Linked DNA regions of Coturnix japonica. The protein of the gene in region 1 purifies or fractionates together with the protein of each later gene. This does not show direct contact. Links are inferred from orthologs where the notes say so. Each region holds a gene or a part of one and is shown on either strand. Other genes may lie near its edges.

What was found. The genes of interacting proteins can lie anywhere in the genome.
Region 2: the proteins of RAB11FIP1 (region 1) and RAB11B purify together in Homo sapiens (affinity purification with mass spectrometry; 3 studies listed by BioGRID and IntAct, counting the BioPlex papers as one, with this or other methods). This does not show direct contact. The link is inferred for Coturnix japonica from reciprocal best matches to the Homo sapiens genes RAB11FIP1 and RAB11B.

The regions. Positions count from the first base shown.
Region 1 is NC_029537.1:3,593,739-3,597,764, forward strand, and holds part of RAB11FIP1 (rab11 family-interacting protein 1), read right to left. Parts: coding exon 3,102-4,026; intron 2,515-3,101; coding exon 2,409-2,514; intron 1,346-2,408; coding exon 1,127-1,345; 3' UTR 1-1,126. UniProt on the Homo sapiens protein: A Rab11 effector protein involved in the endosomal recycling process. Also involved in controlling membrane trafficking along the phagocytic pathway and in phagocytosis. Interaction with RAB14 may function in the process of neurite formation.
Region 2 is NC_029543.1:321,952-326,729, forward strand, and holds the start of RAB11B (ras-related protein Rab-11B), read right to left. Parts: upstream 2,877-4,778; 5' UTR 2,862-2,876; coding exon 2,647-2,861; intron 2,364-2,646; coding exon 2,170-2,363; intron 1,777-2,169; coding exon 1,696-1,776; intron 1-1,695. UniProt on the Homo sapiens protein: The small GTPases Rab are key regulators of intracellular membrane trafficking, from the formation of transport vesicles to their fusion with membranes.

The DNA of each region.
Region 1 (4,026 bases):
AACGTGAAACCTTCATTCCTTTCTGAGCTCAAGTCATAAAGAACACAGCTGGATCTGAGTGCTCTTCACTGCTCCCATCTCAGGGGGAGAGCAGAATTTGGTTCCTTTTCTACACTGAACATAAGAAAAAGAGACGAGTTTTAAGCCTGATCGCCCTTGAAGGCTGCTCCAAAATTCAAGGCACTTACATGGAATAAACTGCAATGGAATGACACTAAAATTGTCACAGAACTTTCATACAGGAGCCCCAGGCCATGAATGCATACAGTGAAATCCAATTCAGGAGTGCTGGGCAGAATCCAGATGTTTGTACCTTTGTCTTCCCTGTTCAAACAACCTTTGAATCAGGAATTTAAGTCCAGAGGAGAACAGCTTCCAAACAATGTACCATCAGCCCAAATCCATTGCTACTCCTTATTCCTATGGTAGACAAACATCCCATGATATCTGTGATTAAAACCCTGTATGTAAACCTTCCCCTTGGAGAACTGCTTTGCTTATGTTGTATCACTAATTTCACTTTGCTTCTTCCTTTCCAGTCTGAGGTTTAACTTGCATTCTGCTTCAGGACATTAATTGCTTTTAAAATACAGCCCACACAGCTCTGTGCTGAACCATTCAGCTTTGGACTCCTCCAGTGTAGTTGTCAAAAGATAAAAGCAAAAGCAATCAAATCCTCAAGCTCTACTGTAAGTGATTTTATATTGCACTACAACTTGGGATGCAGACAGATGAGTAACTGATCTATCAAAGCTGCTAAAAAGCAACGATGAAAAACCTTCAACAAAGGACCAGCAGTGCTTTGCTGGCAAGGAAAACACACAAAACAACAACAAACCCTTCATCCTTCCTATCGCAATCAGACTTTGGATTCAATGCCTGAACAAATCTTCCCAAATAATGGAAAAAGACCAAAAAAATAAATATGGTAAATGACTCTACTTCTGGGCTCCATACCCAAGAGCTGATATAAGCACTACTCCAACTGATGGCTGCTCAAGCCAGAAAGAGAAAAGAGCTCATTGTCTGCAGGCAGCACAGCAGTACCACCTACTTCACATTGTCTCCTTATTAATCAAACTCTACTGGCAGGAATTCAGTCCTTTGTTCGATGTCCAGAGAGCTCCTACATCTTTCCAGCTTTTCTGTTTCCAGAAGTTGAAACACGAAGAATGTTTGGGGTTTCTTCCATGACTCTGACAAGCAAGTTATCGATGTAGTCTTCAAGCTCACGCACCTGGAGATCCTTCTTGGTGATCGTATCCTTCTGTTTCAGGACCAGCTGGATCAGCTCATCGTGTGTGAGCTGAGCATAAGCGTAGGCAGGATCTGAAGGACTGTATTTCTGCAAAAGAAAAGCAAGGTCACCTCACACGAGGGCACTGCAGACAAGAACTGAATGCTCTCTAGGAGATGGTTTGGAGTTCAAGCAGTGAGGAACTGCTTTACATTTCCATCTGCCAACACACAGCTGCTCCTCAGAAGTATTACCGTGCTTCCCACCTTTGTAGAGCTACATTCAATCTAAATGGCATTTTGGAATGCTGCTCATTAAAGCTTTATGACTGCTCAGACCCAAAGTGCTGAAAGCCAGGGAGGTCAAATTCAGGTTAAACAGCACAAACCCTCACATAGGCCTGAGGCGTTTCAGTCTTCTTCAGATTACCACCACAAACACACAGCACAGTTTGTCTGATAACTCTGCCTTTAGCTCTTAAACTTGACAAACATTTTAACATGTCAGTCAATAGTATTTAAATAAAACTTTCTTCTTTTCCACTTGTACCAGAAGGAGGCACCACAGGATTAGCTTTAGAGGTCTCCTGAGACCAAGATTATCAGTAAAATAACCCACACTATAAATCTGAGTGGTTATACAAGCTGCAAAGAGATGCTCTTAGGAAGCAGAGGATATTAATGCAACACATTACAAGGCAGCAGACATGCCAAGGATACCTTTTCCCCATCTTTAAGATCCACAAATTTACTTCAGGGCAAAAAGAAGCTTCGCAGACTAATGATGTTTGCATATCAACAGTGATTAATTTGCCCAATCTTTCCTGCTGATCCAAGTTATGCAGATCCTGCATGTCACAAGCAGGACCAGGGCAGCACAGCAATGTCACTCAGAGATACAGCTCTGGATGTCCTGCTCACCTCTAGGCAGTCAGGCTGCAGCCCTCCATCCCCTCCACTCAGAAACCCCTGCTCAAACAGGAGGCTCTGATGCTATAATTGATGAGTTGCAAGAAAATCATAAAGAATGTCCCCACCTCCAAGAAAGGAGGAAAGAAAACTGCACAGTCCCCATGGTCTGAGCACAAGCACAGTCCTGCGTGAGATACACAAGAGACATGATCCTAAGCAAAGTACAGGAGTTGAGTTTGAAGTGCTGCTCTCCACCCTACCTTTATGTTCATCTCAAGCAGCTTCTCATTCATAGTGCTGATGACATTCAGGTCTTTGCTTTGGGATTTATTTGCTGTGGTATTCATTGGCTTCACAGGATGAAGTCTGTAACATTACAAAGGGCTCATGTCATTCATGCAGTACACACAATACTGGCGTTACATCTTCAGAGTGAAAACAAATACAGTAAAAAAAATGGGGAAAAGTCCTTCTCCGCACTCCCTCCCACTCCAGAGATAAAAGATTTGCCTTTGGGAAGATAAGAAATCTCTGCCTCAGCTACAGGCTTCTCTTAGTGCACTCTATTCTTTCTACTGCCTTTACTGACTTAAGGCATTGGAGATAAAGGAGTAACAAGGGAAATATATCCTGAACAACATCACAAAGGAAAAGCAAGGTCAGCCCACAGGAGAGGGCAGTAATACCAGCTGTTATTGCCATCTTTTGTGCACCAGTGAGTGAGTTCTTAATGAGAGCATACTTGTGGTTCTTGCAAAATACCAAATGCTTCTGCTACACTGGGACACACAGGTAGTACAACTTATCTGATCTGACTTTGTGCCATAAAAGGTGTTTTAACTGCTCAGGATTCGTGGTGCTGGTTGTAACAGAGCAAGAAAAGACAAAGCTCACATCAAAAGCAAGGCTCTCAGCACCGAGATACCTTCGATGCAGTTCCCATGTTCTCTCACCTGTGCTTAGGAGACATGGTTTCACCACTCTGCTGAGTTTGGTTAGGGTACGTTTCAGAGGGTGAAACCCATGCCTGAAGAAGCTTCTTCTTGCCAGAATTTCCTGCTTTATCAGCGAAGCCCTCTGCTGTTGGCTTTTTCGGAGACTCTGCTCTCTGACTTGGGGTGTCAGAGGAGAGGGAGCGAGAGGAGGAGCAGGGCTGGGAAGAACACGACAGGGAGGAAGAGGAAACAGAAGGCTCAAAGAAGTCACTCTCTGCACGCTCCCCAACACCAGTATCTATTACTTGCTTCTCAAAACAACTACTGTGCTCACTGGAATGAGACGTCATACCTGAGTCAGGTGCCTGCTTACTGACTTCATGGCCGTGCCCTCCTGCAGGCAGCACGGGCACAGCACTTCCTCCTCCTGCAGACAGAGTTACTCCGCCTGCAGCAGAGCTATCAGAGCTCTCCTGCTGGTTCTCATGCAAAGGTTTTCTACCTACAGACTCTGAAATGTTCTGATCATCTGCAGCAACGCCGTGGTTTTCCTGGCAGTCACCCTGCAGCTCATCATCAGAGCCTGCCTCAGGAATAGCAGGAAGGGCAGCCAGCCTCATGTTGTGATCTCCAGTAACTGAAAGGGCAGACTTCAGATTTGTAAGAGAATCAAACAAATCCTCGTCCCCTTCCTTTCTCACACGTCTGCTACTGCTGTCAGCTCTAAGCTTTACTGGTGGGACAAGAGCTGTCACTGAGCCATTCTGAGGGAGGCACCCAAAAGCACCAGGGGATTTCTCATTCTGTAAAGCAAGGCCGGATGCAGAGCCCTCACCCTCCCCTGACGGCCCAACACTTAACTCATCAGCCTGAGAAACTCGGGGATATCCCTGCATTAAAGACAGCCGTGGTGCAGGCTGTGGTGTGACAGCCCCCTCCCTGC
Region 2 (4,778 bases), on another chromosome or scaffold:
GAGAGGGAAGATTCAAGCTGTGAAAGGGAACCAGCTGTGCAGTGTAACGTCTGGGTGGCTTTCCAGCTCTGCCTGGAAGACCTAAAGGTTTCACCCTTCAGCTCCCGGTGAGCCGTCCCTACTGAAGTACAGGACCACCCGCTCCTCTCCGTTACAAATCAGTTTCCCCATCCGTGGCAGTAAAAATGAGGTTCCACGCAGCCCCACATTGATCTGCAAATGCCATCCCCGACAGAATTCATTTCATTGACTCCAAATAACTCATGCCTGAAAGCACAGATTCACCCCAGCTGTTAAAGGCAGCGTCCAGGTTAGAAGCTTTCAGAAGGAAACCATTCCACCTGCAGCGCCAGTAGAAATAAGTGGAAATATTTCTATTGCGCTGACTGTAGGACCTCATTCCAACTTCCCTCCATTGTGAGACAGGAAAAGGGCAAGCACCTCCCTGGAAGCCTGCAGTAAATATTATGGTCACATTCAAGCAGTCACAGCCGCAGGACAGGAACAGCCAAAGCCTTTAACAAGGGTTTTAAATGGTGGGGAATTGTAGGGTTTGGGCTCTTTGGTTTTTTTGTTTTGATGGAGCTCCAGTTCTGGCTCCATCTGTTACACAGGCAGCACTGAACTCTCCTAGAAAAACCTCTGGCCATTTTCTGTACCCAGAGTCAGGCTCAGAACAACACAACGAGGGAAGACAGGATGGATGGTGATGGCTGAGCCACGCTCAGGGCACTAAATCCACCGATACCATCTCAGAGCAGCACACGAGTCACCTCAGATCCAGCCAAGTGTCACAGATAAGCAGCACCTGCTCTCAAGGCCACCCTGCACAAGAGCTCAGGCTGCAGCTGCTCTTCTCTACAGCTCTGTCTCAGCAGCAGTATTCTCCAGTTACTTCTCCAGCAGCTCAACCCAAATCTTGCTGGGGAGCAGAACGTAACCCACTCTTCATCCATCAGGCTTTTTTACTCATAGAAGCAGCTTGACTACCCTTTTTTTTCCTCCTGCCCACCTCCTCTTGGTCATCTTTAACTGTAACACACCTCTGTGCTCACAGAGCTGCTCAGACCGACACCACAGCTCCTGCCTGTTTACCTCCACACTCTGCAAAACAAACCTGAAAGAGCCTTCAAGAATTCACCAGGTCAAAACTCAGCCATTTCCCCAGTAATAGGCTCTCATTCACATATAATCAAGGCACAGCAATAATAACCAGTTCTCTGGTCAGCGTCCAACAAGCAGCATACATCAGACACTTCCTGACAACCGAGCAGTACCAGAACAAAGGCTCATTCTCATTTAAGTTAAATCAGCATCTTGTCACCAAAAAACAAAAAATGCTCAGGAAATGCCCTTCTGGAGACGTGGTGGGACGTGTACATCAGGCACAGCTCCACAGAACAGTGCATGAGGGTGAGAATACAGAAATAGTTTATCCTCCCAGAATTCAGCTATTGAACCATAAAACTCAGGTAATGGGCCCACATCACTCTCAAGGAAAGAGAAAGTTCCCCATGCGTGTGGGTGGGGAAAAAGGTGCATGGGGTGGGGGTAAAACAGAGGTAAGGGGAGGCAGACTGCAGACATATAATCATTCCCAACACTCATTTCCAAAACAGTCTCAATAACTGCAAACTGTGCCCATGAAGAAGATTCACTATGTGGTAGGTCCACAGAACCCATAACAAACCATACCTGTAAGGATGTTCTTGAAGGCTTCTTCTACATTTGTGGAATCCAGAGCAGAAGTTTCAATAAAGGACAGGTTATTTTTTTCTGTAATAAATAACAAGTGGTTCAGTTAGGAACTCTATGCTCTCCATAGAACCAGGCCTCTAGGAATGAAGGACAGACACTCTGCATTGTGATATTTGACACTATATGAGGTATTTTCTCCTCTGAACATTTCCTGCTGTTTTTCAGCCTTCCCAGAGGAACTGTTTATGCTTCAGGTATCGGGCAGCTCAAGGATGCTGTTTTACAAACATGTGCTACCAACAGATTCAACAAGAAAAAACACCATCCACTATTTAACAAGCCAGCTACGAAACCTCCAATTCCCCTTTTTTTTCCCACATAATAATAAGCACAAGGCAAAAGTTAAATACTGGACAGTAGAGTGACCAGCACACTGAACTTGAGAAGCACCTGAAGGCCCCACATACCGACCTGCAAAAGCACGGGCCTCATCAGTGGGCACAGCCCTCAGGTGGCGCAGGTCGCTCTTATTGCCCACCAGCATGATGACGATGTTGTTGTCTGCGTGATCCCTCAGCTCCTTCAGCCAGCGCTCCACGTTCTCATAGGTGAGATGTTTGGCAATGTCATAGACAAGAAGGGCCCCCACAGCACCACGGTAATACCTGGGAGAACACAAAGGCACATTCCTTTAGAAAGGTCCAACAAACCCATTCAGAAAGCTGCGCTGATGCAAGTACTGCAGTTCTGTATGCTTTGTGTAATAACCATCCCCCAGAAATGAGTTCCAAATTCCAAATACTAATCAAATAGCATGATATTGTTACCTGATTACCTGGATCTACAGCAAGACCTGCCACAAGGATTCTGTCCCATCCAAATGCATTTCATTCAGTCCTTACCCGGAGATGTATCTGCCATAGTCCCAAAGAAAGACACGGTACTCACGCTGAAGTAATGGCACGGTATCTCTCCTGCCCTGCAGTATCCCAGATCTGTGCCTTTATCGTCTTCCCATCCACTTGGATGCTCCTGGTAGCAAACTCCACCCCGATGGTGCTCTTGCTCTCCAGGTTGAACTCATTGCGGGTGAAGCGGGACAGCAGGTTGCTCTTCCCCACTCCGGAGTCCCCAATCAGCACCACTGAAAGACAGGACATCATTTACCAGATGAACTCCCCACAGCAGCACTGTGCTGCCTGGCTGCTGCGCTGCTTCAGGCAGGGCCCACAGTAACAAGGGCGACGAGCTGCCCCTTGCATGCCCAGCCTTCTGTGGGATTTACTGCAGTTATTCCAGCCATCACCGTGCTCCCCACAGGAAGACATCTGATACTACAAACAAGCCAGAAAACAAAGCAGGACTTCACCCAACAGAACGAGTTCCAGTGGATTAGATGAGAAGTAGAAGACTGAAACTCTGCCTCCGCACAAGGTGTTGCCATGCTAACAGGAAAACATCAGTGCTCAGAGATTTCTAGGCCCTCCCGATCCATGCACAGCAGATTAGAGAACACCTCTCCCTGCACGCTTTCTGAATTAGCTCACCAGCATTCTCCCATGGCCACGAACTGGGCTGGTCCCTCTGTTATTTCAGCTTTGCTTTATTTTGTGCTCAGGCCATTGTTTCAGGCTCCAGCTTTGGCAGCTCCCACCCCGCTTCTCCCCACCCAGGACAGCTGGAGCCAGCTCCACGCAGTGCTCTGCCCTCCTAATGAACACACAGCTCGAGAAAGCACAGCTGCCTCTCCAGGTTGTACTCGTGTCTGTCCTCTGGCCTGTGAAGATGACCAGTTTCATGCATGAACTCTGCAAAAAGACCCTGGGTCATTAATCCATTGGCTGCAGGAAGAGAATTCAGGCGGTCCTGCTGCACTTTGCTAATTACCCCCTGTAATCCAGGTACCTTCAGTGCCTTCAGCTGCTCCATGCTCTGGCAGAGCATTTCTGAGATGTTACTGAATGCAGAAGTAATAAAGGCAGGCAACCTGATCCAAACTCAGCAACAAGTTCGTGCTCTCTCTACCTTACAATCAGCCTCTTGCTGCTCTCAATCAACTGTCAGGACTTTCTCTTTTAGCAGGGAGATCCAAAGACTGGAGACCCACGTACCTCTATGGGCACAGAGCAGGAAGATGCCTTTAAGCTTCTGGACCAAAGCAATCAGATACTGTGGAAATTCCTCAGTTTGGGAACGGGTTACTCAACAATACAGCCTGTTCAAATGCAGATGGAAAAAGAAAGCCCCAAACCAAAAGCAAGAGCCCAAATCCATACTACATCCATCAGAATACATGAAATCACACCCCTTCCACGGCCTTCGATCCCACTAATAAAGGCAAGGAACACTTGGAAATGACCCGAACCAACAAGTCAGCATCAGGTGGAGCAGTGCAGCACAAGGCACGTGCCATGTCCAGCCTACAGCCAGAATTCAGGGCTGCTCCTTCAGCCCCCCCTGCTTCCAGCTCTGCCCCGTGCCCATCAGTGCACACCACGCTGCCCATCCAACAACTGCAAAGCACTGCAGATCTGGTAACACAAGACCAGGTTTATGGTGGAATTTTAAACAGACCGGTTAATTATCTGTCAAAAGGAGTCTATTCCTTCACACAATGAAGAGGATTAAGCCTCTTCCCAGCACAGCTCATCATAAATATTCAGTACATGAGGTTGCCAGATATTGATGAACAATATGACAAACATTTGTTTCCAATAACCAAACGCCCCATCGGGCTTCAGCTCTGATTGGCGCGCTCTGATTTTCCACAAACATAAAAGAAAGCTCTTATTCTTCCCCCCATGGCCGCTTTTATCCTTTTCACCCCCACAAGGCAGGCGTACATCTGCACAATCTCAGATTCCATTTGTAATATAAACACCAATCACAGCCCATCTTCCTGGGAGGAAAATCAGCGCAGGGCTCACACCTCAATAGATGCACGGCTTCCAATAGTCGAACCGATATTCAAAGGTCAAACGTTCAATTCCAGACCCAAAGCACCCCAATCCCATCATAGAGGTCCCAGCTGCAGCCCTACCCAGGAGCTGAGCTCTGAACTGGGTTACATCACTGTGCTG